Saccharomyces cerevisiae S288C: one gene and its partner. The gene in region 1 interacts genetically with each later gene. Each region holds a gene or a part of one and is shown in the gene's direction. Other genes may lie near its edges.

Region 1 (3,760 bases):
ATTTGCCTGATTTTCAAACCGGATTGCCCAATACTGGAGTTTTCTGATCCTATTACCTTGTGATTCTTCCATCTTCCTGCCATGTTACGGCATCTACCATTGATTAATGAATTAGCCGCTGGCGAGATGTATTTTGTGAATACCATTGTCTGTCTGAAGAGCTTAGCTTGTTCATTAATGTACCACATCCGAATTCTGCTAAAGTCAGCTTCATGTTGTTGATCCGGGATTTTGTTAAGATGGTCAAAGATGGTGAAAATATGAGATATGTTCTGGTATTCTATTGAATGTAATTGATCAATCACCATCAACTCTATTGAGGACAAAAAATCGTCCTGCCTCTTTTTTTTATCTGTATTTTCTAAGATCATTTGAATACCCAATGGCGAACATACAATAATGTCAGACTGGTAAAAATTGCTATAAAGTTTTATAGCCTTTCTTGTGAATTTGAGACCGACAACAAAAAAATCGTTGGTGTTCCCCCTAAATATGTGTTGGAAAGATTTTGGTTTGGACTTTGGAGGTAAGGAGTCGTCACGGAATTGGTCGTAGAACTTTCCCTTCTTGTCAACCTGATCTATACCAGATTTTGAAATTATCTTATCTACAACGCGGTACGCCACCTCTCTAGTAGGGACTACAATTAACACTTTTGGTCTTGTAAAACCTTGATCTAGGTGTTCAGTGTCTGGGTTATCCTGTAATCTTTGATTATTTTTCAAGATTCTATCTCTTGTCTTGTAGATGTGATTCAAAACATGCAAAGCATATAAATCTCTGTACTCGTCTTCGTCCTTTTCGTAGGAGTCATACTCGTATAATATGTCTTTATACTGAAACATGGGGTCTACTAATTTTTTTTGCAAAGCAGTCAATGGATCAGTTTTTTTATCCAATAGTCCATTTTGCACTTTTAGCCTTTGTTTCAAAAAGTATGAATATATAGATGATGACCTGTACGGACTTTCCACCAATGCTTCCTCACCAATTACTACCGGTTTAGCATATATATATGATTCACTGTCACTTAGTGAGCCCTTTACGGATTTGTATTTTACACTTTTGGTCTTGAAAGCATTCGACAACTTATCAACGAATTTCTCCGGAACTTGGTTGAAATGAGACTCGAAAGGATCTTGCTCATCTTCACTGTCTATATCTTTTTCGTCTCCACTGCTGTCATCGTCGTTATCATCCTCGTGATTACCCAAAAGGCCATTCTCTATCTCCAATTGATCATCCACTGGTCCATGTTCTGTATTTTCGTGCTCATCCTCCCCAACTTCGGCAGGAGCTTTGTTACTCTCGTCAGCCTCTCGCCTTCTTCTTTTTGGCTCTGGATGTTCAGATTTGAGAATCGTCAATAAAGCGTCATAAACTTTTTCCTTTTTACCCTCTTCATCCTCAATATCGAAATCATCGCCACTGTCGACATCGGACACTTCATCCTCATCGGATCTATGGTCAATATCTTCTGCTACGTCCTCTAATGTTTCTGTGCTTCCGCCTTCAGTTCTGGCAGAAGATCTTTTAATCTTCCTCAGTTCTTGTCTTCCTCTTTTCCGATAGCCACGGAAATTATCATTCTTTTCCCTCACAGAACTGTCACTCATTACAATTTGGTCACTTCGCAATTATACCACCGTCTCACTGAACCAATGCAGTTTATTCCCTGTATTATATTATTGCAAAATATGCGATGAGCTAAATTATAGTAGTATTGCGAAGGAAAAATTTTTCAGATCATGGTACACGAGGAATCGCATCAGCTTGAAGCGAAGCAAGGGACTGGAGCGGTTACTGGTTTCGGAGAGATGATTGATGAGAAGATGAACATAGGTAAAGGATCGAGGTGTAGTGATACTGGAAGGGCTGTGCGTAAAGTGTTGGTGGATCTTATAGTATTCGTGAAGCTTCTTTTTCCGTTTTGCTCCCCTCAGCCCATCGCGTAATTGCTTAGATCTATTAGAGAGGTGCTGTTTGTGGCCGATCACGCTAAAGATTAGGCAACGATGACCAGTTTGTCCAAAAGCTTCATGCAGAGTGGACGAATCTGCGCAGCATGTTTCTATCTGTTATTCACACTACTTTCAATTCCAATCTCGTTTAAAGTTGGTGGTTTGGAATGCGGGCTTTCCTTCACGGTGACACTGTTCACTTTATATTTCATAACTACGACTCTTAACGTGTTGGCAAGACGACATGGAGGAAGACTATACATTTTTTTTACCAACTGTCTGTATTACTCACAACATTTTATCATTGCATCTTTGCTATACCTGTTTTTGTCTGGATTTTCTAATGATGAGTTGGGAAACGTTCTGAAAAATAAATATAATGAGTCGGAGTCGTTCCTGGAAGCTTTGAAAAATAGCTTGAATTCCAATCAAATTAACTACGTCTTATATTATTACTACTATCGATTTGTTGTACAACCGTGGCAATTCGTGCTTACCAAGTCCACACCTTTTTTTACTCTATCGGAAGGTTTTTTCACTATTTTAGCCATTCAGGCCGTCGGGGAAACTAATAGATGGTTATCAAATGACTTGAATTCAAACACGTGGATTATTTCCTCATTGTTAACCTCCGGAGGTGTGATTACCGCATCGCTGTACTATTTGTATCGGATTTATGTCACCCCCATATGGCCGTTATCCATCCAAACGGCGTCCTTATTAGGACTTGTTTTGTCTATGGTATGTGGACTGGGGTTGTATGGTATTGTGAGTCAAAAAGGATCCGTCATAGAGAGCTCTTTATTTTTTGCGTATATTGTTCGTTGTATTTATGAAATTTCCCCCAAATTAGCTACTACCGCGACTGATGAAATTTTAAATTTGTTCAAAGACGTCTGGCAGAAACATCAAAGAAATCTGCCCACAGCTGACAATCTTTTGTGCTACTTTCATAATGTCATATTGAAAAATGCAGAGGTGTTATGGGGGTCCTTTATTCCTAGAGGAAGAAAGAAAACCGGTGATTTTCATGATAAACTCATTAGCATTCTATCATTCGAAAAAGTATCCTTGATATCTAAACCATTTTGGAAATTTTTCAAGAATTTCACCTTTAGTGTTCCGCTATCCATTAATGAATTTTGTCAAGTTACAATTAAGATGGCAAGCGAATCAGTTTCCCCAGCTATAGTAATCAATTTATGCTTTAGAGTTCTGATGTTTTACTCGGCAACGAGGATTATTCCAGCATTACAAAGAAAAAATGACAAACAGTTGCGCAAGAGTCGCAGGATCATGAAGGGATTGTATTGGTACAGTCCTTGCATATTAATTGCTATGTATACTCACCTGATTTTACAATATTCAGGTGAGCTAAAGAAAGACCTGTGCATATGGGGTTGCAGTGAAAAGTGGTTTGGCGTAGATCAACCAGAAATTATAGTAGATTCATGGGGATTTTGGAACTGGTGCAACATTTTCTGTACTATTTTGGTATACGCTACAGAATTAATAGGTTCTGGTAGTTGAAGCTGATGCATTGTCAAAAGAGCCGCATTACCAGCTTTGCCAAATACGCGAAGACAAAAAGGAAGGTGAAATACCAACTGACTTATAACTAAGTGATAGATGATATCTGTTTTAAGTGCCATTCCTGAACCATTTTTACATTTGGTTAGTTTCTTTTTTTGTTATTATTTGCATTAGTCCCTTGCACGTTCATAGTGAAAATCCCTTACGCTCACCACTATTTTCTAATAAATACAATGAACATTTTAACTCATACTCTAATATGTAGA
Region 2 (3,760 bases), on another chromosome or scaffold:
TGTAACTTCAGTAATTCAGTAATTGTGTTCTGGTAAAACTGACCGGTTGGATGCACTGGTATACCACTGGGTTTATCAATGACGAGGATACTCTCATCTTCAAAAACAATATTGAATCCCGCTATTCTGCCAGGTAAATCCTCCGCTTCAACTTCCTGGCTACACCATTGTTTTACCGGCGGTTCGTGCTTATGCGTAGTTGTTTCTAAAACATCATGATTCTTGATTATGGTAGTCATGAGATGATCTGGTACCAGCGGCACACCATCTCGGATCAACCTATATGTGCCTTTCCTTATTTGGTCCAAATAATAAGCTCTTGGGCGAAGTTTAAATTCACTAACGAGAACGTCTATTAGTAACTTACCCAACCAGCGCCCCTTCACGAACGCTGATCTTCTGTTATAATAGGGCCGTACCTTTCTCAGTCCATTCTGTGTATATACCTCAATAACTTTGATAGTTGACATACTTGACAATCATCCTTTTGCCCACTGATTGTCTCGAGCAATCGTCAATAAAGTTTTCACAAGAAACATTTATTTGCCTTTTAATGAAAGAAAAAAAGTAAATTTTTCATTAACTTTTATCATTGTTATCAATCTTCTTGTATGACAGCAAGCTATATATACATACATATGCAAATCTAATGTACATAATTTCAACTATTCATACCATTAGTACCATAAAGTCATTCTTTTTACTGTAAACTACACTTGCATTATCCTTCCTCGTCCCTCTTTATTCTTATAACGTTGAACAGTGATTTCTTACCATGTGTATTTTTGTACTCAACCCGCAAAAGATAAGCATCCTCATACAGAAGTATTATTATTACCACTGTTACTTTTATTGTCGTTATTTGTCTTGCGTTTTTATGTTTATGGAGATAAAGTGGGAATGACTTTATCATATGCAATTATTAGCCGCTATAAGGCTAAGATTCTTCAAATTTATTTCATTTTTCTTTTACCCTTGCCACCCTTGCCCAGTTGCTCCTCCTCTGCGGTTAGCAACGCATCGCGCTCCTTTTTAGCTCTTGCTTTTTCTTGTCTTTTTTGCTCTTCCTCTAATTTTTTGGCATTCTCTTTCCTCGAACCTTGTTCCCATTTAGAAGCTTCCTCCGCTTCTAGCTGCTCCATTTGTGCTCTTTGTTTAGCATGTGCCTGATCTCTTTTTCTTGCTAAGCCAGCTGCTTTCTTTGCGGCGGATTCTGAAAATCTTTTACCCATCTTTTTACTTCCTCTTTGCTATTCTATTATTTCCTGTATAGGCAGGTTTTGTGCTCAATTGATAAATTCTTTTACCTATTAAATATAAACTTGAGTTTCAACTTATTCAGCTTTATTTTAAACATTATACAAGTTTTTCATTTTGAGGGGTCTTTAACTGGAAAAAAAAAGCTTTCACGACTCAAAGAAAAAAAAAAAAATTTTTTTAGGGTAAAAAAAAACTAAGGGCTAATATGAAAAATACAAAGGTTATGTTACTTTAAAATGAGGTTTGGAAGAAGGAGAAAGACAAAAAAGCAGGGCACATGTCAAACTCTTGGAAACTTGAGATCCTAGCCCTAACGCATGTGCTACTTCAAGGAATTCTTCTTATATATGACAACTATTCCAATTTGATGCTAAAACTAGCCCAAAGTGGTTGATGCTGTATCAATTGGTAAAGAATCCTCGATTTTCAGGAGCATCCAACGACGAAGATGAGGATTATTAAGGGCAGAAAGCGAGGCAAGAACAAGAAGCCAACGCTAATTTTAAAAATTCATGTCATTCAAGCTGAAAATATTGAAGCCTTGAAGACATTCAATTGTAACCCGGTATGTTTTGTTACCACTAATACATTTTATAGTCAAAAGACGAACAAGCTCAAGAACTCAAATACACACTGGAATCAAACCTTGAGGATCAAACTTCCGAGAAATCCAACATCTGAATGGTTAAGGATTATAGTATACGACGCCCTACCAACCGGAGCTCCCCCTACTACCCCCAGTAGACCAAGGACAACCACTGCAAATACATCTTCATCGACACTGTCAAATTCAGGGCTAAGTTCTCACTCTCATTCGTCGAGAAATTTGAATGTTACGTCCAAAGGTAATCAAACTTCAACATCAATTAATTCAGTATCATCTTCAGCTACACCGGCCCCTTCACATTCTTCCTCTTCTCTCTCAACAACAGGTCCCGGGTCCACACACAAAAATAGGATTAATAGCTATCTATATTTGGGTGAAGCAAAAATTTCATTACTGGATTTATTCAAGAGGAAGGACACCACGACGAGCTATAAATTTTCAATTGAAGCTCAGCGGTACCATCTATACGATATGAAAGGAGGGAAAGACCAAGATTCCTTGAACTGCAACTTTCTAGTGGGCGATATTTTGCTTGGATTTAAGCTAGAATGTAACGTTAAAAGAACCCCGACTTTTCAGGCTTTCAATGCTTGGAGAAATGAGTTGAACACTTACTTGGGCAGAATAGATAGAAATAAGGCCCGCATGAGATCTTCTAGTTCTTTGCCACCTCCACTAGAAGATATGTTGAGCAATAGTTCAGCTGTTAGTGGAAATGAAATACGACGCGAGAAACCATATAGCGATACTGATCTAGCCCACGATGAAGAGGTCAATGCCGAGGATGAAATAGATGCTGAGGAATCTATTGAAGATATGAATAGCAGCGGCAGCATTTGTACGGAGAGGAGGTACGATATAGACAATGATACTATATTCGACTCTATATCTGAGGTTGTTTCGCTAAATGATGAAGAACTAGATATTCTAAATGATTTTGAAGAAGCAGATCATCCAAATGTGCCAGACATAAATGTGCATGACATCGACGAAGATACCCGTATCAGTCTATCTTCAATGATAACAGCTTTAGATGAATATGATATCGTAGAACCAGAAGATGTTGCAAAATTACCTGCAGTGTCGGAAAATGACATAACATCAGTGGATGACGAAGAATCTGAAAACCAACAGGAAAGTGATGAGGAGTTTGATATATATAATGAGGATGAGCGTGAAGATTCTGATTTTCAATCAAAAGAATACATTGGGAGTCGGCTTTTACACCTGCAAAGGGGTAAACATAATAAATCATATGCAAATTACTTATACAGAAGAGCAAAAAGTAACTTTTTTATATCGAAAAAGGAACATGCGATGGGGGTAGTATTTATGCATATTGGGGCTATCAAAAATTTACCTGCATTAAGGAATCGGTTGTCCAAGACTAATTATGAAATGGATCCATTTATCGTTATTTCGTTTGGTAGAAGAGTATTCAAGACATCTTGGAGAAAACATACTTTAAACCCAGAATTTAATGAATATGCCGCTTTCGAAGTTTTTCCCCATGAAACGAATTTTGCTTTCAGTATCAAAGTTGTTGATAAAGACTCATTTTCATTCAATGATGACGTTGCAAAATGCGAACTGGCTTGGTTTGATATGCTGCAACAGCAACAACATGAAAACGAATGGATACCTTATGAGATACCATTGGATCTCACTGTTGAGCCAGCACATGCTCCTAAGCAACCGGTATTATATTCGAGCTTCAAATATGTTTCATATCCGTTCTTAAAAAAGAGCTTTTGGAAAGAAGCTGTTGACACATCAGTCAACTTAGAGAGACTCGACATTATTCAAGTAATGCTCTATCTTGAACGTCTTGGTTCATTCACGATGGCCGATTCTTTTGAACTCTTTCAGCATTTCAATAAATCTGCTTGGGCC

What was found.
Region 2: mutations in ICE2 (region 1) and PSD2 together harm fitness more than expected from each alone (negative genetic interaction), as found in Saccharomyces cerevisiae (4 studies listed by BioGRID).

The regions. Positions count from the first base shown.
Region 1 is NC_001141.2:191,580-195,339, forward strand, and holds ICE2 (Ice2p), read left to right. Parts: upstream 1-2,015; coding exon 2,016-3,491; downstream 3,492-3,760. Other genes in the region: rRNA-binding ribosome biosynthesis protein UTP25, read right to left, coding at 1-1,616.
Region 2 is NC_001139.9:835,434-839,193, forward strand, and holds the start of PSD2 (phosphatidylserine decarboxylase 2), read left to right. Parts: upstream 1-1,708; coding exon 1,709-3,760. Other genes in the region: pseudouridine synthase PUS6, read right to left, coding at 1-470; LSO2 (Lso2p), read right to left, coding at 954-1,232. UniProt on the Saccharomyces cerevisiae protein: Catalyzes the formation of phosphatidylethanolamine (PtdEtn) from phosphatidylserine (PtdSer). Plays a central role in phospholipid metabolism and in the interorganelle trafficking of phosphatidylserine.